Arabidopsis thaliana: one gene and its partners. The protein of the gene in region 2 interacts with the protein of the main gene of each other region in a pairwise test. Each region holds a gene or a part of one and is shown on either strand. Other genes may lie near its edges. The genes, in order: AT1G79220, AT2G33710, GNC and BLH6.

Region 1 (5,778 bases), on a different chromosome or scaffold from region 2:
ATTAAAGAGTCCAGACTTATTACTTTATCTCACATAAGAAAAAGCTACATACTATCTTAAAAATGGCAGCAAAAGAAGATAATATCTATCGATAAGGTTTCATTTATGCATAAAAGCGATATCAATGTGAAGTGAAAACTTCAAAGTAAACTGCAGGGGTACATCTTCTGTAAAAGAAAAGATGGCGATACTTACACTAGTTTTTCGATCTGATATTCCATCCAAATCAAAGAAGAGAGCGCGGGGAATATGAGCAACCTATATAGGAGAGGACACAGTTTATGTCCGACAGTATCATCAAATAGTGTACTAAGTGTGGTTTCGCTCATCCAGAATGAATACAACCTGAACAATTGTGAAAACAAAGAAGTTCTCAAAATTCTATCTGTTCATACTCTCACCTGATATTCTTGGATCGGATTTCTCTGCTCATCCGGCATATACCATGAAGCATCCAAAATCTGAACAGCATACAAACAGGTAAGTTTAAGTTTGGCAGACATATTCTCCAAGAAGTGAACTAGGAGAAAGGGCAGTCACCTTCAAATCAGGCTCTCTAAGATTAGCATGAAGCCAATCAACAGAAACAACAGGTTCACTGGTTGATACGGATGATGTGGAGTAACCGGCTTTTGTCTCAACTCCAGTAGAAGCCATAGCTCGACGAGCCCAAGTAGTTGATTTATAGGCTGTAGAAGCGGAGCCTAACTGAGAGTGGAGTGACCTCTTCAGCAATTACCAACACAAGAAGAGGAAGACCAACCAAAAAGTCAGAATCATATACAGAGAGGCGAAACTGAGCAATTCACATAAAACTTCACTACCTAATTTATGATTACAAAACTCATAAGTCCAATTTCAAACTTTGATAAGAAAAGCATCGATTGACATAGACCTCATCAACAATTAAGCAATTCTCTATAGTCTATTCAACATTTCAAAAGCTCGAAAACCCAGTAGAACCACTGTCAAATCATAGAAACAATCCAAACGCTCGAAATCAATCCAGACACTCTCAAACCCAGAAGCTAACGAGTGGTCAAACGAATGGCTAATTGAGAACAGATCGCGAATCAGATATCGACTTACACTGAGAAAGGTGGCTGGATTAAAGATCTTTTGCGGAAGAGAAGGAGTAATCAGTCGGTGACTAGCAGCCAAGAAAGTTCTGGAGAAAAGGGTCGAGGCCATATCCACCTCAAATATTCTCTCGATAAAATGCAACAGAGATGATGGGTTGAGTTAGAAAGACGCCAAAACTATTTGCTGTCAGATTGATTCTCTTCAAGTACTAAACCCAAAAAGGTTGCAACTTTGCAAACGTTTTTATCAATAAAGAGGATTTTGTCACTGCCGCCACGAACGGGTCTGGAAGAGAGACACGTCTAGGGCGTCTTTGGCGTTTCGTTTCACCAAACGTGCTTCTTCGCGTTTTGTGTTTTGATATTTTTCTATTCCGGTTTAACTAATCTGATCTAAACCAAAACATGAACCGATTCAAAAGTATCCATTGATAAAGCTGGAAAATTCTACACAATGTTACATCTTTAATGAACATATCCAAAGAAACAAAAGATGAAAAAGAGATTCAAAAGGGGAATCCTTTACGGATGTATTTCTTGGATTTCTCAGCTAAACGTTTCATGTTTTTGGATTTCTCGTAAAACTCCATCAGCTCGGTTGCAATATCTTGTGGATGACACATTACATAAACCTTCAAGAACCGTTTCTCGCTCATCCTTACCGCTCTGAAAATGCTCACTTCTTTTATCAATGGCTTTAGACGCATTTCCAAGACTCTCTTAACGAGATCCGCACGAGGTTTTAGACGAGACTCGAGGTTGAGGAGAAGCAAACAAGGGTGCTTAACCACGGAATGAGCTGGAAGTTTCATCGAGGCTATGACGAAAGTCATGTTTCTCTGAACTTTCTCAACAGAGAGAGAGAGAAGGATTGGGCATTTTCCATACAGGTGCCAAATCTCTTCTTCCGAGAACCCAAACTTTTCCAAGTTTCTAACTTTCTCTTCGATTGTCTCCATCCTCGAGACCCCGATGATGACTGCAACATATTTAAACATCTTGGATTCTCTGGTGACTCCAGTTTTCTCAATGTATTCAAACTTCTCATTGTTAAAGTTTGTTCTTGGAATCAACGTGGGTCGCGATATCAACATTGCGACAAGATCCTGTTGGCTAAAGCCCAACCCTTTGTAGTATTCTATCGCGGGTTTGATCTTGTCATCGAGGTCATACAACATGAGTGACGGATTCCGGATAATGACTCTGCGCAACACCTCTTTTGACCCCAAAATCTCCATGAAGTAGTTGATCCTTTCATCAAGGACAAGACGGCAACTAAAGAACCTAGGACGACAGTTAAGAATCTTCACAAGGTCTGAAGACGTGATTCCCAGTGGCTTAAGAAGGCTTAACTTAAACTCTAACTGAGCAACATTGGCTCTCTGCAAAGCAGGCCTACGAGTAAAAAGCTTGGATATTTCATCATCATCACAACCCCATCTTCGTAAAACTTGTAAAGGACTACTAGTAATATCTCTCACTTTCTCTTTTTCACCAACTTCTCCAACATAATCAAATTTTTTTCTCCTAGACGATAGATCAGAATCCTCAATGCATTCTTCAGATTCATTCAGGCATAACGTCGAACACCTGGTGGTAAAGGTAGCAGAAATGAGATTTCTACAACCAGCCTTTCTGACCAAGCTCGAACTAGTAAACAATAATCTGATAACAGCTAAGAAATTTCTCTTCCCGGTCGAATGCATTTCAAGGGCGTAATCGAGAGTTTAACAAACTGGAGAAATAAAGGAGCAAATTTTCTCTAAGAATCAACAATGGCTCTGCCTCAACGACACAATCAGCGACATTTACACGCGTATTTCAGATGCTTCTTCCATCCAATTTTCCGAAATAGCTAGAAAAAATGGAACAATTACCAGTACACGAAGCTTGTGATGAACGAGCGAAGAAACAAACTCCGACCAACGGAGGAGAGTTTGTCAGAGAAGAAGGAGGCGATGGAGAGAGACACAGCCAATTCGGACCAGGTTTGAGTCCGAGTCGGGCGTGGAAGCGAGAGAGAGTAGGGGACTAGGGGTAGTAAATAAATAATGTGGTTCAAACTGAAAAGAGATATAAAATATTGGACTATTATGTAAGATACAGTAACTGTGAAGTTGTTAAAACGCCGCCGTTTTGGTTTTTTTGTTTCTCTCGTTTTCTGGCGTCAGACTCTCACCCTTTGTGCAAGAAACCTTGAGAGCTTAAAAATTCTTCACTTGGGTCTCTTCTCTCTCTCTTCTCTTGCGACCATTCCGTTCGATCCATATATCAAAGGTATGTTGCTTTGATTGAATGGGTTTCTTTTGTTGAATTTAAATTGATAACTTTAAATATATTGAATTTGGGGTTTAAGAAAAGTTTTCAATTTTCGTCTCTGAGTTTGAGCTAAGAGCTGATCTTTGAGTTTGAGTTTGTGTTTGATTTGATTCACTCACAATTCTTAATTAGGGTTGGTATATCTTGTCTTTTTCATCGTTTTCCTTACACATTGCCCATGGCGATGAGACTCTTCCGGGTTTTTAAGCTTTGTCAGATTTGAACGCTTCAGTCTACTTACTTGCTCAGACGTGGTTTCTTTTCATTTAAGTTTGAACATTGTTGATGAAGAACAGATTTAGCTTCCACGTTTCTAAATTTCCAGAGATGACACTATTTCGCATTTTTTGCAGCTTGATTTAGTTGGTTTTCAATGGGGGACAGTCAGTACTCGTTTTCTCTCACCACCTTCAGGTATTAACTTTGTTTATCATATCAATGTTATCTCTTTCTGAGCATTTGGAACGGTTTCTTCGGGGTTTGATTCATGTTGTGGTTTATGAAACAGCCCATCAGGGAAGCTGGTTCAGATAGAACATGCCCTAACAGCTGTTGGATCAGGCCAAACATCACTTGGAATTAAAGGTTTTTTCAATGATCTAATCAAATTCGAGAGGAGATTTTTAAGGAACATTGTCTTTGGTAATCATGACTGTTGTTTTCTTTATGCAGCTTCAAATGGAGTTGTCATTGCAACTGAAAAGAAACTTCCTTCTATATTGGTTGATGAAGCGTCTGTAAGTTTGATCAACTCTTTATAGCAATTAGTTCTTTTTCATTCTGTGCCTGCTCGTGTTACTTTCCTTTCGGTTGCATAGTTTCAGTAACTCCTACGAAACTAATGTTTATCTATTGTCTGTTTCAGGTTCAAAAGATTCAACATTTGACTCCCAACATTGGAACTGTTTACAGGTTCTTCTCTTCAGCTATCCATACTTCTTTTTTAATAGCGAATTTGGTTTTATAGCTTGCAAATTGGATTTATCATACATTTTTTATTTTGTTTTGGGTACTTAGTCTCTCTCATCAGGTGCTAGTGCTACTGATGGAACCTTTCCCTTAGTACCCTAATGATTTCAGTGCTAACTTTGGTATTGCCTTTTATGTAGTGGTATGGGTCCTGATTTCCGAGTTCTTGTGCGAAAGAGTAGGAAGCAGGCTGAGCAATATCTCCGTCTGTACAAGGTAATCTTTAATATCTTCTGTTTTTTTGTCTTCTTTTCCTGGAGTGTCTAGTAGTACATGTATGATAAAAACTTTGGATTGATGATTCCAGTTGATATAAGTTCTTGCTTATTCATAAATCCAGATCGCTCTGTTGATTCAACTTCTAAGGGCGTTTATTGTTGCAGGAACCCATCCCCGTTACTCAACTTGTAAGGGAAACTGCCACGGTGATGCAAGAGTTCACTCAATCGGGGTAAGTACTATATCGAGTGTTATGTAATTACTTCCTCTCATATGCTCAACAGGGTTCAAAAGTGTTATTGGCTCAGAGATTGCAACTCTAGAGCGAGTCTCTCTATGCACTTTTTAGCTCAGTTTTGATATTGATTTGGCGTGAGATAATGTTGTTAATGCAAATCTGTATTTGCAAACTAGACTACTGAATCTTGCTTCTAATCTCTGTCTCCTTCTGCTGTTAATAGTGGTGTTAGGCCGTTTGGAGTTTCTCTACTGGTGGCTGGGTATGATGACAAGGGTCCACAACTGTATCAAGTAAGTAGAACTTTAAAGAAAATATAACCATCCTGCTCAAAGTGAAGTAAAACCCGTAAACTGAAAACATCTTATTTCATAATTTTCATTGGCCACTAGGTGGATCCATCTGGCTCTTATTTCTCATGGAAAGCTTCTGCAATGGGAAAGAATGTTTCGAATGCAAAGACGTTTCTTGAGAAGAGGTGATAATAATTTACCATTTGTGGTGATGAGTTTATGATCTTGGAAGCATGTCATTTCATCTTAGTCTTTGATCAGGTACACAGAAGATATGGAACTTGATGATGCCATTCACACGGCAATATTGACATTGAAGGAAGGGTGAGCATTTTTACCAAAACTTAATTTACTTTATTTCCAGAGTTCAGAATTTCTCAAAAGCCTATAACCTCCGTGTCTTTTCACAGTTTCGAGGGAGAAATCTCAAGCAAAAACATCGAGATTGGCAAAATCGGTACTGACAAAGTTTTCAGGTAAACATTCAAGACTACAAAACTAATATAAACAAAAAATCTTGTTATTCCCATCAATATCTGAAAAGTGAATGTTATATGCAGGGTGCTAACACCAGCAGAAATCGATGATTACTTGGCTGAAGTCGAGTAAAACTTTCACTTAACCGTGCAACCAACCTGATTTGAATCTCAGTATACTC
Region 2 (6,119 bases):
TTGCACATGGTACTTTGTTTTTGCAATCTGAGTCTTTGTGACATCTTTTGCTTTCTGTCATCGTCATACCTTCAAATAGATTATCCAAAAGAAAACAATACTAGATAATAATTTTTAAAAAGTTGTAAGTGTTCAATTTGGATAAACCAAATGTATTTGAACCGCCTAGTTAAGCATAACAAACTGATATGAAAAACCGTACAATTTTTTTGTTAACATTAGTTTTATATATCCTAAAAACCAAAAATCGATTTATAATCCAATAAAAAAATATGGCTGCTTTGCCAATTCAATTGATTCTGATCTGAAACTAAAACCGCAATTTTTGTTTGTGTTGATTACTTGATTACTGTTTTTAAGAAATCTTTAAGCTCACAATAAAGAAACTAACAAATTGAAAATTCCTAGATAAATTAATTCATTTGAAAAAAATGAATCTAAAATTTTCATATTTTACACCACAGCAAATAGCACTTGATATTGAATCAACATTAAATAGTATTCGTTCTTTTACTTTTAAAAATCCATTAAAAATCAGGGTATCACCTATATGTTATAGTCATTAGAACATAAATATAAATTATATATGTGTGTGTTTCATTGTTATACATATTAACACACTGATATATGAGTAAATGAATTATAATATATTTGTATGAGTGAAGAACTCACAGAAGGGTGATACAAGGAACAAGATTAAAAGAAGCCTGTTTTCTTTGAGTTCATCTCTATATTTTTTCTTTCTTTTTTCTTTTTGTATTTTGTTTGTTGTGATTTGTGAGTTATGATGGTAATTTGTGTTCTAAATTGGGTTTAATATATTAGGATAGTTTTTATCCTCTTTTATGAGGTCAATACATACAAATGATTTTGGTATTAAAATGTTTAGATTTCATACCTATATTATTTATTATGATTAATTGAGAAACACTATATAAAACAATAGCAATTTATGATATCATATACTATTATTGTTTAATGAATCTATACGTAAATTATTATGTTTTGATGATACATAGCATTTAACATAAATAGTGTAGATTTGATAGTGTCCACATGTAATCATCTAAGAGGCATATTAGTTCTGATTTTAATTTTGTGATCGCGATTCTTTGTGGATTTGTCCATCAAATTACGTGATTTTTTTTTTTTTTTGCAAAAAACAGGTTAAATGGTTCTGATTACTCAATAAAACACACAAGATGTGAATTTGATTTTTAAAAACATAAAACATATTTTCACAGATAATAATTTTCATGAATAATTTTTCATAATGTTGAACCTTTTTCTCCATTCAGTTATTTAACTGGTGAAAGATACACTTATATGAAATAATCGCAAATTTGAATAGAACAAAAAAACTTTTACTACATGTTTTGTTTTATACACTAGCAGTCGATATGTGTATCCTATATAATAATTTATTTATAATAATTTTACTTGAATCGTTTTTTAATCGTTTCATATGCAGACTGTTACCTAGTTTAGTTTCATTTTTATTTACCAACCATTTCATCATTCAACGCGTTGAAAAATATATGAGCATTGGATAATAAGACAGATATAAATGTAAGTACATATTTAAAAAAATTTAGCTTATGTTTTGGAAACTCGAACACCCTCATCATGTGTATACCCTCTATATTTGTTTTTGAACTTTTTTTTTTATCTCTTTCGTACGTGATACAAAAGGATAAACTAGCAAGCTACTTCGGAGTGGAAAGACATAAAGCACCATGTACGAGCTTTTTTCTACCTGATATACTCGACCCAACCTGATCCGACCGGTCCGGTCAACACATTATCTCATTTGATCGGTCGATCAGGTGAGGCATGTTGTTGTCTCCGTCGGTCATCTTCTGTGGATATAGTCGTCATGACCTATCAGGACGTTTTCCAAGCTAAGTAGTCTTCATCCCATTCTTGCATAGTCATGTTCAAAATTTATATATTTTTCATCCATAAGGCCTGATTCCTAGCTAAATCCACTCCATAGACTCTTTAAAGACTACCAAAATGAAGTCGTAAAGAGATTAAGCGCCTAAAATGATCAAAGCCGGAGGTCAATGCGTTTGATAACTTGGACGAAGAGATATTTATGCCATTAACATGTTATTTTCGTCGTTTGTGGATACTAATGTTCTTCACGTTTTCACCATCCTCCAAATTTGGTCTTAGCCCTTGATGATTCAAAGATGAAGACGAAGAAGACAGCATATTCATGGACAAGTTGGCACTGGAATCACTACTTCGAGATTGAAAGTGGCCATATTGATCAAGAAGTATGTCAGGAGCAATTGGTGGAGGTGGACTAGGTGGTGTCACGATAATGCGATCATGGGAAGTAGCGGGCGATGGATAGAGTTGAGTAGGGTTGACACGAATATGCTCGGGGAAGTTAAGCTTGGCCTTGTGACCTCTAAACTCAAATGCAGCTTTATCATACGCTAAGGCGGCTTCTTCTGCAGTGTCGAACGTCCCAAGCCACACACGAGCTGCCTTGTTCGGGTCACGAATCTCAGCCGCCCATTTTCCCCACGGTCTTTGCCTCACGCCTCTGTAGTTTCGTTGCCTCGAGTTACTTTTTTCTGTAGAAAAATGATGAAAATTGTAAGTTCACTCTTGTCATGAAAATGGTGACTTAAATGTGACGTGCATGTCTATGAATATAACGTATACTATCGGTGTAGAGGCATTTCGTAAAGATTATTAAAGGGCGTTTGAATCATATGATATGATCATTCTACATCAACTTTTATTCCCCTCTTCTACATCTACTTATGAAATCTATATATTAGGCCAAACCTACATTTATACATTCCTCTCTCTCGTAATTGGTAATTAACTATATATATACTTATGTATCACACCAATGATATAATTAGGATATAAATTAAGTTTGATCATTTTAAATACGTTTTCCCCATGTTACAATCCTAAAACTCTCTCTGGCTAGTTATCTCAACCAAAATACGACCATTGCAACCAAGCCTTGCCAATCATATTTGTCCGAAAGCCAAATATGATCAATTTTGTCCAACCAATAAAGCCGACAGGTTTTTTCAAGAAAATCTAACCATGAACATTCATTAAAAAAATCATATAGTAAATTGAACTAATGCATTGTGGCCATACATGAAATTATATCTCTATTTGATCAAGGCCATGCTGCAGCCACTAAAGGATTACCAATTGCAAAATCCAAGATTAAATCATTCCTATGTGTAAAGAGAATCACCAATGGAAAAGACAATCACTCGAGTTATAAAGTATAGCAATTAAAATTATTGGAAAAAGGATCTGATGAAATTACCTTGAAGAGTAAGCGACGAAGATTGATCATCAATGGATGATGGGATGGGTTGACCAGTGAGTTCAGAGACAAAATCAGACACATCAGATTCCGACAAAGTTGAGCAACAACACAACTCTTTTTTCTCTTCTCTATTTCCGGCCATTGATTCTGGTGATAGAGGTCTCTTCCCGCTATGCATTATCCGATGATGTCAATTATGATTATTTTTATTTTATTTTTGAAGTCAAAGATGGGTTTGGGTACAAGCCAAAGAACCAGCAAAGATGTCTATTCTCTGCATCTATGTTATATATAGACGCACACGCATGTATTTGTTGACCAATATTATAGAGAGTTTGTCTAACCTAGAGGATATTTTGGTCATAAACATTACACACACTTTTTTGTTCCTTAAAAACAATTCTTTGTATTCATCTCTTTAATTTTCCTTAACAAACGTTACATTACGGACTGCATCGACCGACCCACTATGTAGTTGTATTAATGGTTTGTGTTAACCCAAAATCGATTGCGTGTCTCAAAAGACGAAAAAAAAAACGACTGTCTTATACAAAATTCATTAATTATGATCCAAGTCTTGTGTTAATTACGGTCAACATTTTAAGTTAAAATTAATTATTTATTATATATGTGGTGGATTTAAATAATTATTTTCATCCTGAACATTAAAGGGTTAATAATTTACCTAAATGACTCACCAAAAAATTAATTTACCTAAATGACCATGATGAATATCTAATTATTTAGGTAAATGAGCAAATGACAAACATATAATCAAAGAAACACTTTAATATATATAAACATGTAAACACCAATTATTTAGGTAAATAATGTATTTTCTATCATTTGACTTTAATGTCTTTATATATATATATATATATATATATATAGATACATATGTGTTTTGCACAATCATTTTATTTTAATAAACAACGTACTGTATAAATCACATAAATAAAATAGCATAATATTTTTGCTAATTAAAAGTCGCTTATGTCATCCAATACAGTTGAGTGTGTTTTTAAATTGTTTTATGTAATATATAAAAGTTCATGGTTAATTAGGATGAATATTCAAAATTAAAGGACAAACTCTGTTTCTATTCGCTACATATATAGTTTTACGGAATACACTCTGCACAAGTCATCATAAAACAACTGGAATGGAATATGCGATGAATCTCTTTAATAATAATATGTGGGATCTGACTGTGGATTCTAATCTAATATTTCTATTATAAGCAATTTGGACGATTCGTGCCATTTTAAAAATGGTTGAGGGATTTTTTTATGGGGTTGAATATTGTCATTGCGCCTTATCAGAAACACAAAAACAAAAAAAATATTGTCATTACATGCATGATGTTGATGAATTATTTTTCAATCATATAAACTTGTGGTTGAAGAAAAAGCACAATATTTAACAAACAAAAACATAACCTGAAACAATATAAACTTACTTTCTAAATTAATAAAACATTTGACCGAATGGGGAATCTAAAAGTGTGTCATATAAGATATTGATTTAAAGACCTAGATGACGTATGGGCTTACATAATATGTGGTCAACATTGAATATTATAGTCAGAGCAAACTTCGCACGAACAAATCAACTCCAATCTCACACCAATAGCATAAGACCATGCCGTAGTCTATATGATTGCCACAAAAGAATTATTCTTATTGGCCAACTTTGACCTAGTGTTATATTTGTATTTATATCTTTTAATTAAGTATTTATTGAATTATGTATATACATTGATTGTTGCATTCATCTTTTTTACTTAGTATGCCATCTATTCAATTAGATGAACACATTGTAATACTATAATAAATTACGTATGTTTAGTTACGATAGTGCTTTAATTTTGATCTAAACCACATGATCTAGTCAGAACGCTTTGATCGATATTTGTTTGTGTTTATTTTTTTTGTTGTTGCTAAATTGTAAATATCAGTAAGGAATGAAAGTTGGGGCGTACAAGAAGTTAGACCTATAAATATAATTGCTACTTTGCCAAAAAGGTATAAAAACAAGGGAACATATACAAGAGAATTTTATGAGATTCAATAAAAGAGCTTTAGTGGAGCCACACGGTTGCATCAGTCTTGAGAAGCTGCGCAAATGTCGTCTTGCTGAGATTGAGTTACGGAGTAACTTGTATATTGTTTTGGAGTAACTTGTGCTTGGGTTCAATTGGTTTACTAGTACTTTATGTAGCAAGTTATAGAACAGTTCATATCTGTATATACAGTTTGTGAGGGTGGCATTTCCACAGTCTCTATTGGTATTGTATGTTTATGAGACAATTCATGTTACGTATATGAATTGTTACAAAACTTTATGTTGTGACCAGCTACAAAATTAGTTACCAAGTCAATATCCATGGCCACGACAACACAATAGCGGCCACTATACTAGTGAACAAATCATCGGTAGCTATACTTCTTGGAAATGGTAATGAATACTACAAAAATAACCCCACAATATTCTTAAGTTTTTTGTGTGGCTACACGCCTACACTAGCTTAGTCATGGATAAAGTCGTTTACATATGTGATATGTCCGCCTAACCAATGAGGATTCTGATTTCTGAATCGGGCAGATTTGTCCGGAACACGATCTATGCTCATGTAGGTCCTCATCACTCTTGCAATGATCTTTACCACAATTAATTCACAAATTCAACTTAAAATCTTATAAGTTGAAAAAGCTCCGATCCTCCCTCTTTGTTCACATTAAAACAAAACAGAACTTATTGAACACATATCTGCATGACTGCATTTTAAAAAGAAAACTAGCTG
Region 3 (6,638 bases), on a different chromosome or scaffold from region 2:
CCAATTATTTGCTTTTTGCCTCATCCCATGATACATCATTAGTTATCAGATTAGGTTTTTGTTAATTGTCGTTTTTTGTTAATTTTGTTATTTTTTATTTATATTATAAGTATGATTCAATATTAATATTAGTTAACATTCTCTAAGTGCATGCTTTGTAGCTATGCTTGCATCTATTGGATCAATGTTCATGTATAAATTATGGTTTGTAAAATGCTTATTTAACATCAGTGTGTGTGTGCGTACTATGTGTATATAGTTGATTTAATTTGCTGTAACAAAAATAGATTAGTCATAGACTAGACCAAACTGATGTTTTAAAGTAAAAGTAGTTTACATAGTGATTGTTTTTTTTGGACAGTGATATTTTGAAGCTAAAGTATGTAGATTAGTAATTAATATTGATCATTATAAACCAATGATACATTCATAAGGATCTTAATATTAAAATAGTGTATAGTGAAAAAATAATTATATTTCACATTTTACATTTTTGATATATTTATGATTGGTGTGCTGTACTAGCTACTCATGACCCTAAGTAATAATGTAGCAGCGAAAGAAAAAAGTATTTTTTGATGTGTTGATTCAGACTTAGGTCAACCTATATGTGTTTTTTTTAAGTTTGAAATAAAATTAATTAGATCATTTTTTTTGGATAAAGGGCTTATATTAGTTAGATAATCTAATGAAAAAACTAGAAGAAAATATGTGGGCTTGCAAATATGTCGTCGTCTTAAAATGCAACACAAACGTATTATCTTCTTCACACATGATCTCTTGTCTTATATACGCATTCATATTATCCCATATCAACCATCTTTACCCTCATCTTTATATTTTGTGTTCAGTATATTCTCACAAGCAATTAAATCCAAAATAGTCAATTTAAAGCATTTCTAAGAAAAATTACACTACTATTATGAGCTTCAAAAATATATTTAAATTTTGAATGATACCAAATACTAGACGTACAATTTTAAAGCTGGTAATCCATTTATGATTGAGCTAAATTGTGATGATATGTATATTGTATAAAGATAAACACATAAATAAAAGTACCCTTAATTGATTATATTATTTCTCCAACCTCGTTACACAATACAGTACTATAAAACTTGTAAATGAACAAGAATTACCCACATTATCGGGTGACTAATGTTCGTTCCATCGGAAAACAAAAACACAACAAACTCAAAACCAAAATCTCCATAAACATATATAGAGCTATTAATTATCATATTAAACTCTCACACACTCTTATTATAAAATGTTTTGACTCCTGATATTAGACCAACTGCAAAAACTAAACTAATCACTCCAAGATTTAACAATCAATCATTATTATGATTACTATAATCTATATATTACTATTAAAATAAACCTTTTTGTAATGAGGATATTGTGATGATCTGATCAACCGTGAACCATTCCATACGACAGAGCCATGAGCAAAACAGCAGCCTCCTTCTCATCTTGTGGGAACACTTGTTGATAAGCTGAGCTTTTGCTCAACATTATTGTCAAATCATCGAAGCAAAATTTGTTTGACGAAATCGAAGAATTAGAAGAAGTTGTAGATTTGCTGATCTCTGAATCTCCGGCAACCGTTTCCGCTTCCATTTCCTTCTCCTCTTCCTCTTTGATCTTGCACTTTTTGGCCTTGGCCACCATTGGAGGAGAGTGATTGTATTTTTCCCCTCCGTTTGATCTCTTTTTTTTATTTTGCAACTTCTTTTTCAGCGGTAATTGTTGCACTCGGGGCGCTACCGCCACCTCTTGGTCGCCGGCTGCAGCGGCCGCGGCCATAGCGGCTCGCCTTGCCTTTCTTTGCCGTATACCACATGCGTTACAAAGAGACTGCAATGATAAATGAAAATTAGTATGCGAACTGTAGATGACAAAAAAAAAATCATAGAATGTTGGACTTATGAGTATCATTGATTAAAGTATTAATGTTTAAAGGATGTATCAGGTTTAAATAAATTAAATATCTACATTCTTGAAATATAACTATTAATTTTAAAAATGTGAACTAAACTAGGTAGATATAGATAGTATGACATATATCAAGACAATTTCGATTGAAGTAAGTGTGATTAATCTACCTTGGGACCTCGAGGTCCACTTCGCCAAAGAGGAGTCTTGGTGGTGTTACAATCCGAACAAACCCTAATCACGCCATTGTTATTACTATAACCGTTCTCGTTGATTGTATTGTAGCGATTCTCGGTGGTCGCGGCCGTGGTCTTCCTGGTCAAGACGTTCTTGAAATTAAGATCTTCATGGTGATCCTCGTCGAAATTAGTCTTATGATTCAAAGGGTAGTGATCACTTTCTTTATGATTATTATTATTAGTCTGATCAATGAGCTGTTTATTGTTGGTGATTGTTTTCTTGATCAACCGCATCTTTGGGGACATCAACCACTTGTCGGAGTCTGAATCGGGTTTTGTCGGGTTTTGATGAAGAGGATGGGGTTGGTCTTCGTGATCTTTTTTCCTTATCGTTAGTTTCAGTCTTGTCTCCTTCTTTGGCACCATGTGATCGCATGCTGATGATCCACCGTTAGCCACAAACATCTTGGCCTGGTATATATATATCACCGATCAAGGTTTATAATCAACAACAGATGGAATTGTACATAATAATATAATGATATGGCTTCTTAAGATCCCTCCTTTTTATTTGATAAATTAAATTTCGTCTATATAGAATTCTCGACATACAAATTCAGAAACTAATATTATTGTATGAATTTTACATGATCAGGCATGATTTTAACTGCTAAACTAAAAAGAACGATCGTACAAGAATAACATTTATACACACACACTTAAGGTTGATATGTAATTGTAAATTTACCTTGAGGGGTTGAGAAAGATGGAGATGATCAGCGTGATAAGTGTTGTTGTAGGCAACATGTTGATCTTCTTGAGAGTTGATCAAGAAAGGGAGGTAAGAGGAGAGCGATGAAATGGACGAAGAAGAAGATGAAGAATTAGAAGGGACTTGATGATGATGATGATGATGATGATGATGAAGCGAGGAAGAGGATCCAAGAGGATAGAAAAAGGGTTGTTCGTGATGGTTTTGATCTTCGTTAAGATCTATCGAGTAATGAAAATTTGAATCCATTGATGAGATAAACAAATGAAGACACAAAGAGAGAGAGAAAGAAAGCTAAGATGAGAGATTGAGAGAGATCATAGACGGCAAAAAGAGTCCAAGCTATACTATGTTTGATCCTTTTTAAAGGCAATGAGATGAGACACGAGCCAAACACACATGGTCTCTATTATATTCATATATAAAATATATCAGTTTAATAAATGGTTTACGTGAGTCTAGAGTTAGGGTACTTATGTCTCTGTATACATCAACTTGTACAGTGAATTTTAGAAGACATGGATAAAATACTGTTTTAAAATCCTACTTTCGGACAAGTCCGGATGTCATACCAATGATTTTAATTTTTTTAATGTCCTTTTTATATGTTTTTTTCTAATTTAGAAAAAAAAGCTCTAAACTTCTAGTTTTCTCAAATGACCATAAAGTATTATGAGATTCGAATCCATAATTTTATTTGCATATGCTATAACGGACATGCGATCCAGTAATCCTTGATGAGCTAGTAAAGAAAGCTTGTTGTTTTTTTCTTGGATTGATTTAAGAAAATGGATACAAATAAATAACTGAAATGATCAGTAATAGTAAATGGTCAATATTTACATTAAGAAAGTTGAAAATATATGTATATGTATATATATAATTAATTAATTTAGAGGTTCACGTGAGTCCATGGCACCCATACAAACCAAACACATGAGACAAACTGTGTGTATGTGGAATGGTACTGGACGGCCCCATTCAAAACAAACCCTATCTGTAATTTCCTTACCCCACTAGAGAGACACAGAAAATTAAAAATAAAACCCTAATTTATATAAATATTGGAGAGTGAGAGCCACACAAATCATGATAATAATTGAAACAAATAAGATCCTTTTACTTGTTGTCTTTTCAAATCTAGGGTTTCCTAGATCTCATCAAGGCTCTATTATAGAAAAAGAAAAAAAAAAAAGTCAAAATTTGGATTTCTCATGTTCTTTTCATATGTATATATACCGTTAAACTAAAAATCTACTGTATTCATGAAGAATCACTAAAAAGGTTAGATTTTCAGCTCTATGAATTTTTACTAGATTTTATTAAATCGTATCAGTCAAAACAAATTTAGAATAAATATTGATTGATAAATTTTAGAAAGTATATTACATTCTCTTATTTTCTCAACCAAAAAAAAACAAACTTCTCTTATTTAAAATGAATATCTAACTAGCGTCTGTAAATATGTCTATTGACAAATAAAAAATTAAAAAAAAAAAATGAGAAACAAAAAAGAGTCAATTAGCATTACGTGAAAAAACGTCAAAAATAAATAAATAAATAGAAATGACAAATAGTTAGTGTTTATCTTTCAGATAAGTCAGTGGATCTTCTTAAAATTCCCCTACGAGTAGTGTTAGTTAGTACCTAAAATTATAGACTTTGTTGTGATAAGCCATCAATCATATAACATGGATTGTTAAAAGTTCAAATAAGTCCAACACTGATTCGTTGGTTTATTTCCTGATAATCAAAGTTTACTCAATTGGCATAACAAATTCAAGATCTCTTGAAAACGTAGTATATATGCTATATGTAACTCGTGATCCTTTCAACTGCATGTGATCCATCAATAATCCTCCCAGAGGATAGAGAACGAAATGATCCATGATTGAGAGATAGGAAGCGAGGCAGAGGGAGAAGAGATCAGAGATCTAGAGAGAGGAGATGAATAGAGAGAAGAGATAGGTTTAGAATGGTAAAGGAAGAAAACATCCCACCTTAGTATTGCCAAACTTATTCAATTCCTTCTCATCAGATTATACAGATCATTGAGGACCCCCACACACAAAGAGACAATCCATCTTTATTTTTCAAAATTTAAAATTGGCCCATCAATTTGTAACAATTCTTAAGCTAACTAAATGATCTAAGGAAAAAATAATAATTGATATTAATTTTCTGCTATATTTAGTAGCTTTTTATATGGGATCAGATTATGATCTATATATAACTCCCAATTTTCTAACACATACTATAGGATTTGGTCAATGCATCTTATGATATCACTATTGTTAGAAACGTTTTTTCAATATCACAGTGTACAAAGTCGAATAAGATGTTATGCACTGAGAGAAATGATTTACGCTTTATAGATTATCTACTCCCTCGATCGAACTGAAAGAGACCATATATATAGACGATAGAAACTTCATAGACAACAAAGATAACAATTGGTTTGTGACCAAAACATATGTGTTTTCCATTAGTTACACCTTGTTTAAACTACAACAATCCAAAACAAGCAAAACATTGTATATTAGTGTGCACAAAAGAGCACAATAATGAAAATTGTATGGATGTGAGGATAAATCTCTTCTTTTTTTGATAAACGAGGATAAATCTCATATGTCTCATGTATATTAAGGGCCAAAAAAATCTACACAGACGGGATAAAATCAAATGAAGAAAAGTGATTGTTGAAATTTGAGTTTCCCTTTACTGTACTATCACATGCCAAAAAAGTCATTTGTTTTCTTTTGAGTAATAATAAAATTAGTAAATAATATTACTATTGGTGTCGGGATAAAAATGAAATATTACTATTGGTTACTTTAACGGTAAGTATCTAGATGGGGAAAAAAAAAACTGTACACAAATGAATTGTACTCTTCATTTTTTACATGACTTTGCAGTTGCATCACTTCTCAATCTTGGGTTTGCTTTTCAGGCTCAAAAAAGTTTTTGCCAACTTTTTCATTTCTTACCAAATCGGGTCAGTCCATTAATCAAAACACGTTATAGGAATTTTAACGCATAAAACAAAAAACAAAAACAAAAAACCAGAAGAAAACATGGAAATTGATGATCACGAATGTATATGCAATCTGTTACCGTTAATGCATTAAAACGTAATGAAAAAACATGGAAATTATTTAACAGTACGTGACGTCAATAATAGTACTGTATTACTTTTGAAAAGGTTTAAATGTCTTTAACAAAAAAAAGAAAGGGTTTCAAAGTAAAGTAGCACTATAAAATTTAATCCCATTCTACGATTATCGTTGTCTTAATTATCATTAGCTCTATTACCATTATCATTAAAGGTTGAAAAAAGAAAAGAAAAGAGAACACTGCAAATCAGAGGTAGTTTGACCACTGTTCTTTCTCGTCGATTATATTATAATATTTGACTAAGCTTTCTTTTGTTCTGTGTTCTTGAAAAGCGAGCTGAGCAGAGCCGTTGGATCATGGAAACGGAGATCGATGAGCGAAGAGATAGATAAATAGAGGGAAGAGAGAGATTGGTAGGCTAGCTCTCTGAGCTCTTAAGGGTTTTGTTCTTTCAGGTTCTCAAAAAAGACAGCATGCGATCTATCAATCTCCTTCAATGTTTTAACACATGTACCTCTTTTGAATTATCATCAAAACCGAGTCTAATTTTAAATATTTTCAGTCTCTCTCATATGTAAAATGCAGTGAGCCATCACATGTGCATAGTCATGCGTCTTCAACTATACGTTATATAA
Region 4 (6,922 bases), on a different chromosome or scaffold from region 2:
TGCTTTTTATTTAAAGCATTCACGTTGGCTAAACAAATTAGTTAACTTTTAATCGTGTTATTTCTTTAGAGATTATATATAGTGATATACCAAACGCATTGGCTTCTCTTTTTTTTGATAAGGTACGTGTATCTAAATACACAAGATACAGCTTAAGGCACATCAAAAATTGAAAGGAGAAAGAAGATGGGTTTGTTGCCATTGGTGAAGAAACTAGGTTTCATCATCTTTCTTCTAGTTTCAGCTTCAGCGTTTGCTCTCTGTTCTGCAGGTTTGTTTCTTACTTTTTTTTCTCTCTCTCTATCTACATATTTATATTCCTTTGTTTGCAGCTTTTCTCTGCAACTTCATGTGCCTCCTACTGAGATCAGTCTTTTAGAAAGTAAGATAATAACATTAAGAGCTTGTGCTCTCCACATGTGTGTTAATGACGACTAAAGGAGAAAATTAACGACATAGTATGTTACGTTAGTGTTATTTGGATTGATTAATCTTGGATATAAAGAATAGACAAGCTTAAGTCTCTTTTTTTTTTCTTTTTTGTAGGCCGATCATCCATTTTAATCTATAGCCAAGAAGATGATCATCCCGAGGTATTCGTTTTAACTCCAAAAAAAGTTGCCAACTACCGTGCGTTGTATATCTTTACTTAGTAAAAAACCGAACAAATTGATAATCAAGATCGTAGTTATATGATTTCAAGAACAATTTTGTACGTTGGTGAATACATTCTATTTGTGGACAGGTAGTAGAAAGAAGAATACATGAGCATGAGAGAATTCTGAGAATGAATTCAAGAGACTATGGCCACTCCAGTCCTAAACCAAAGCTCGTGAGACCTCCTTTCAAGCTTATTCCCAACTGATCATGCATATCACCGATCGACTATATATAGATGCCAGACTTTCTGAGATGTATAATATATGTAAACCTAAATACTAACACTGCAATAAGTTTGAATGATAATCATATATATAAGTTTCAAGATATGTTTTCTAGTAAATTAATGATTAGATAGTGCTCTTTGCTATCATGCAGAATGTAAATTTGGTGAATAGTCATCATTAGATGAATATTACAATTTATCTGATAGAATCCTTATGATCAAAATTAATATTGAAATATTCGATTAATTCTGAAAACGGATACAGATTGTATATGTGCCAGACAAAAAAAAAGAGAAGAGAATTGGGAACGTTGCAGTTTCGTAGATGTGATAAGATAATAAGTCTACAGTGTAATGTCCATCTCTTGCAGATCTCAAATTGCATTTACCATATTCTGTTTGGTCCCAATGACCTAACCTCACTTATATTCTTGTACAAAAGAATGTTTACTTTATACAAATATTTCTAAAACTTTTTCTTCTGACCAACATTCTTCCACTACAGAATTGAGACTGATCATAAGTTCATCACACCTATGCTTTATTCCTCTCCATTGCTTACTTCTTCAAGCTACAAAATCATGTACCAATTGTGAAGAATTTATCCGGTTCTGGCGACTTCCGGGGTTTACATACTCCATTTCATCTCCCGGGATGGCATTCTCGTAAATATCCACCCCGGAAAAGTTGTTGTATGCCTCACTAGACATAGCCACAACATTGTCCTGTCCTTGAGAGTTTTGAAGCCCTAGAGTCAAGGACACATCACCACGACCCAATCTTGACGTATCAGCCACATGATATGTAGGCTCAACTGCCATGAACCGGCGACCATCCATATGACTGCCTTGGACCATGCCACGAGTTTCCTCGCCATATCCATGTCCATGGTCCGGTTTGGTCTGGTCTTGTGAAAACTCTCGAGCTCGATCTTCATCATCAGCAGCAACAGGTCCTATCTCAGACATTTTCGGTGTATTTTCGGAAGACGAGTTGGAATCATTCTCTGTGAATTCCTCCTTGTATATCTCCTCCACCATTGGCTTCCATAAACGCACTCGTGCATTTATGAACCAGTTTGAAACCTTTTACAAACATAAAACACACAACAATCAATAAATAAACTATACTATGAAGAGAAAGAAACAATCTTCAAATAAAACATTCCTTACCTGACCGCGGCTCAAGCCCGTTTGTCTTGCTAGCATGATCTTATCAGAATCCTTTGGGTAACTATTCATGTTTTCAAACAGTAATCATCACTATTTATGAAGAAAATGTGTGGAGATAAGATTCAAGGGAGACTTACGGGTGAAGAAAATGCTCAAAGAGCCAAGCACGGAGAATCAAAACAGAGTTTTCAGGTAGACCGCGTTGAGGTCTCCAAGCTTGAGGTTGCATAAAACCTCTTTGTTGTCTTAAATGTTGATCAACGTACTTAAGCCGGCTTATAATCCCAACTCTTTTCCCATCTGATCCATCTTGTTGTTCCCCAAGGCATTTACGTAGCACGAGGATTTGTCCGGATATCGCATCCCTTAGGCTACGAAAATGGCGAGAAATTGTTTGAAGGGCGAGTGCTGTGTATGGCTTAGCTGCTCCATAACCAGCTATCACATCGAACGAGGATACAACTATCTGCATCTGCTGGTAATATTGCTTATATCTTCTATCCACCTTTACCAAAATCAAGAAATATCTCATTTTCTTAAATATTCAACATATCCTATATATACCAAATGTAACAACATTATGGCTGCAATTTATTTAAATGTATGCTTTTTTGCATTTAAAATATTATAACAAAAGGCCTATAAAAGGTAACCATCACATGATCAAATTAAGAAGATTAGGTCTCAAGTTATTACCTCATCCAACATTGACAAGAGTTTTGTCAACTTGCTCTGCATTTCTTGTCTCTCCGACTGAGAGATGTCCGCAGGAGGATTCGTGCTCGAGTCTTGAGTGCTCTGATTCGGTTCTTGAGGGTTCTCATTGTTTTTATCTCCCTCTGCCTGAAACTGCTTTAGAGCTTTCTTTACATTAACAGCCTCATCTAGAAGCTGTTGAGCCGCCTTAAGATACTTTGAGTTGGGAATTGTTCTCACAACATCCAAGTTCTGATTCCCGCCCGGAAAACTCTGTGTTGCATACTCATTGCCTCTCGGCGCCATATTTTGATGGCTTATCTGATGAATTCCTGGAAGAATCTGTGAACCAAGGCTAAGGGACAGTCCCTGACCGGTCTGAAGAATCCCCGTGGCACCTGCCATCGCGCTCATTAGCTGGAAACCGTTCCTGTCACTCGCTTGATCTCTCCAAGAACCGAAATCTTGACCAATGTTCTGCATTTGTGGAACTCCCCCAAATCTGGACAATGCTTGCCTCTCTTGTGAGGCTGAGACATTGTTAGCTTCAGTTCTTCTTTCTCTACCGGCTGATTCCTCAGAGTAAGAAACTATAGCATTCTGGATCATTGAATCTCCGGGAATAAACTGTGTTTCTGGATAATTCTCCATCGAAATGGAGTGTTCTTTTTGGCTCACTTGAGTTCCATAGTCCCTTGTTTTCTGATCAGGTCGTAAGAACTTAACCTTATGGAGGAAATGCTTGACATTAAAGACAGATTCAAAAACAATTGAAACAGAGCAGGATCCATATAATCAGTGTATTGCTAAGAAACATGTAAGATTTCAACATGTCTTGAATATATGGTTATGCATGCAATTATGGAGATGCAAGCCAAATCCATAGACAACAAAAAAAAAAGAAGAATTGTATAGAAATAAAAAGATTAGTAAATTACCTGGAAACCAAACTGCTACTTCTGATGGATTGTTGAAGGAGACAACAAAATCTTGAAAAGAATTAAAAATTAGAAAATGTGAAAGATTTTATTGATATCTTAAAAGAAAGAAATCAGAAGGTTACGCCTCTTTCTCTTGGTTGTGTTTTTTTTTTGGTATGAGATATAATTTGAATTCATCATCTCATCAATGTCACACGTGAAAGACCCATATCATACTCTCCCTCCTCCGGAAGAAAGAAAGAATGGAAAAAAAAAACTTTGAATTTCTTATTTAATAGTATATAATATGGTAATAAGAAAATCAAATAAAAACTTTATTTTGTTTTCTGAAGATATTGCTTCAGAAAGCCATAATCTGGTTGGTGCTTGAACCTCCTGCTTCTTGCTTATTGATTCCTGGAGTCAAGTCTTTGGTAAAGAGAAGAAAATTATTGTGAAAATGTTATATAAATGTATGGTTAAGGAGTTTCTATCTTTAACAACCAGTTGGTCGACCTAAACCCCTCTCTCTTCATCTTTCTCCCAATCCTAAACCTAATCTTAATCCCAATCCTTATCACTCTCTGTCTCTTAATTACACATTGATTAAATCAATATCCTCCATATAATCACATTTCTATTTTCTTTACTTAAGTTGAAAAGTACAAAGAATCAAAGATGCTACTAGCTTCTTGACATAAAGTCATCTTAAATTTAAATTTAAATTCGGAAGTGTTGAGTTATATAGTTTATTTTGCAAGTAAACAATAAAAATTTAGCAGATTAGTAGATCGTGGTGAATTTTGATTAAGTATATATATCACAACTTGTTTTTCTGATGAATAGGTCATTAACTTATCATTATAAACACATAACTAATGTTTATTATGTGAGTTTTGATTAAGAGTATTAGCTACTTTACTTTTTAAGTAAGCCAAGCCATGATTGTTTCTTCTTCCTTTTCTTTATATATTTCTTTCATACTTTTTTGGTATCTGATTATACATTCGTGGACTCTGGTCGTCCAGAGGCTATGCAACTATTAAAGAAATAAGGGTCCCAAAAAATAACAAACACAACTTTTTCTTCTTTTTTATTTTCATTTTGTAAACACCATAAGTGCTCGTTTTCCCCACTGAGTTTTGTCTTTTCCTGGAAACAACTTGTAGATATTTATGGATTAGTACTTTTTCTTTCAAATGCTTCTAAACTTAGCATTCACTTTCTTGTTTGACAGAAGTCTATATCCTAAGTCCTAAGTCCTAACTTGGTAACTACTATAATCTTTAAGACTAGGGTCCAATACTGATTAGAGGCTGAGAGAATCGTTAGTTCCATGGGCGAGACTTGAGAGCAACAACACAAAGATAATGAGAATGACTTAGATAGTGATAGGAAGTTGATCAGGGTGGATTTTTGAAGAAATATAAAGTATTAGGTGTAGAATGAAAATAGAGGTATAGCTGTCTGAATAGGGACAGATGTTGCAGCGAGAGGGTCAGAGCCAGAGATGCCGTAATAATACGAACAATGAACATCTCTGAAGGAAGAGAGAGAGAGAGAGAGAAAGAGAGAATCTAATGGGATACGAAGCGAGAGATTTTGTTGGCCCAATAGAGCTGTAATGTCCCAAAGACACATCCTTTTTTCCATAACTATAACATTTTTATTAGAAGACCAATTTAGTTTGAAATAGATTATTGTCTAGTTACTAGTCTCTTGCATGTGTTTTTAACACATATAGACGATACAAATACATTTTGGCAGATATTGAAACCAAAAAGACGGAACAAAATTTTGAAGAGAAGCAATATAAGAGTTTCAGACCTATATGAGAATAAGAACTAATTTCAAGATCAACGAGATTATATAACTACTACCATGTAGAAGTAAAGATATACATAAAAGGTAAGAACGAGGTTCTAATGTCCAAGATCATATTCAGGCAGATAACTTTTTTTTTTTTTTTTTTTGAGCAAATATGGGCCTAATTCCTTTTTTTAGCATACAATCCAGATATTGAGAATGAATCTTATTTTTGAAAATATGGGCCTCTTACCAAAGCCTATTTAGTCTAAAGTGAGAATTGTTAAATGTAAAAAGGCATGCTCATATTAAAGAATAAAAATTCACCAAACTCTGTTGCAGAAAAGTCTTAACCAACATAACATTAAACTGCTTTCACATAGAAAGCAAAAGTCTTAAACAACATTACATTAACTCCTTTCACATAAACAGAAAAGTCTTAAACAACATTACATAAACTCCTTTCACACAGACACAAAAGGCTCTTTCTTGCTCAACGCATCAACACTCTTAGTTCAAGATTTCACCTGTAATGGGTGAAACATGTTGGCTCGTAGACTTCTGCCCATTTTTCGAACCGACCACTACCATAGGCTTTGGTGGTATCAAACCGGCCCTGAAAAGCATGCTTTCCACTGTGTCTGTTGGTTGAGCTCCAACAGATAACCAGTACCTGCATTATTCGAGTACCATAGAGTGAAAATCAATTTCTTTCAACAGTTGCACAAAATAAAAAAGAAGTTTAGTTAGACACCAAGAACTGTGTGGATTTAGACTTTTAAACCAGTCTAATCAAATCAATCATACAAGCAAAACCAAGCCTCACAGAAAACTTGCACCAGATGAAATGCATTAGGTGTAGAAACAACCAAACATGACTGAGAGAAGCAAATGAATTAAGGATTGTAGCCTTATGCAAATAGAGTTTTGGACACAGAATCAACAGAAAGCATCTCAATTTGTCACAATCTAAGCAATTAGGCAGCATCATTGTGGCAAGAACAAGTTTATGACCTTGCAGAATACTAAAGAGAATGAATTAAGATGATTAAAAGACAAACAAGAAAACACATTCATGAGGAATAATCAATCATATGGATAATGTCGAGAAAGAGACTCTTTAGTGTTTCAGTCTTATCAAACAATCATGAGTTTCACATCTAACTGGTGTCCTAAAATACTTGACACAATTATACAAGCAAACAGGAATATGAAGATGATAGAACAAGTAAAAAAAACATACTTGATTCTGTCGAATTTGAGGCTCACTCTATCCGCATCTTCTTTGCCTGAAGACGTACAAGTAGATTCATGATAGCAGAGACATTAGGAAGTGTTCAATTTTACTGAGAATTGAGAAATGTATATAGAGGAGAAATAACGAACCTTGGAGTGGATCATAAAAGCCTAACACCTCGATTTGTTTACCGTCCCTGCGCGAT

Evidence for each region.
Region 1: the proteins of AT2G33710 (region 2) and AT1G79220 interact in a two-hybrid assay, tested with the Arabidopsis thaliana proteins (one large-scale study listed by BioGRID).
Region 3: the proteins of AT2G33710 (region 2) and GNC interact in a two-hybrid assay, tested with the Arabidopsis thaliana proteins (one large-scale study listed by BioGRID).
Region 4: the proteins of AT2G33710 (region 2) and BLH6 interact in a two-hybrid assay, tested with the Arabidopsis thaliana proteins (one large-scale study listed by BioGRID).

What each region holds. Positions count from the first base shown.
Region 1 is NC_003070.9:29,796,237-29,802,014, reverse strand, and holds AT1G79220 (Mitochondrial transcription termination factor family protein), read right to left. Parts: upstream 3,165-5,778; 5' UTR 2,789-3,164; coding exon 1,589-2,788; 3' UTR 1,444-1,588; downstream 1-1,443. Other genes in the region: MST1 (mercaptopyruvate sulfurtransferase 1), read right to left, coding at 196-258, 402-461, 541-726, 1,090-1,191; AT1G79210 (N-terminal nucleophile aminohydrolases (Ntn hydrolases) superfamily protein), read left to right, coding at 3,775-3,815, 3,910-3,986, 4,074-4,138, 4,267-4,313, 4,511-4,586, 4,754-4,821, 5,051-5,120, 5,220-5,305 and 3 more.
Region 2 is NC_003071.7:14,257,159-14,263,277, forward strand, and holds AT2G33710 (Integrase-type DNA-binding superfamily protein), read right to left. Parts: upstream 3,582-6,119; 5' UTR 3,495-3,581; coding exon 3,314-3,494; intron 2,589-3,313; coding exon 2,149-2,588; coding exon of another isoform or gene 2,113-2,148; exon of another isoform or gene 1,882-2,112; coding exon 1,807-1,881; 3' UTR 1,651-1,806; downstream 1-1,650.
Region 3 is NC_003076.8:22,988,214-22,994,851, forward strand, and holds GNC (GATA type zinc finger transcription factor family protein), read right to left. Parts: upstream 3,318-6,638; 5' UTR 3,139-3,317; coding exon 2,866-3,138; intron 2,589-2,865; coding exon 2,109-2,588; intron 1,861-2,108; coding exon 1,417-1,860; 3' UTR 1,003-1,416; downstream 1-1,002. UniProt on the Arabidopsis thaliana protein: Transcriptional regulator that specifically binds 5'-GATA-3' or 5'-GAT-3' motifs within gene promoters. Involved in the modulation of chloroplast development, growth and division in a cytokinin-dependent manner.
Region 4 is NC_003075.7:16,529,094-16,536,015, forward strand, and holds BLH6 (BEL1-like homeodomain 6), read right to left. Parts: upstream 4,270-6,922; 5' UTR 3,693-4,269; exon of another isoform or gene 3,481-3,692; 5' UTR 3,406-3,480; coding exon 2,755-3,405; intron 2,564-2,754; coding exon 2,196-2,563; intron 2,120-2,195; coding exon 2,059-2,119; intron 1,972-2,058; coding exon 1,453-1,971; 3' UTR 1,253-1,452; downstream 1-1,252. Other genes in the region: AT4G34600 (uncharacterized protein), read left to right, coding at 187-271, 547-593, 746-865; SSR16 (small subunit ribosomal protein 16), read right to left, coding at 5,991-6,153, 6,724-6,769, 6,867-6,922.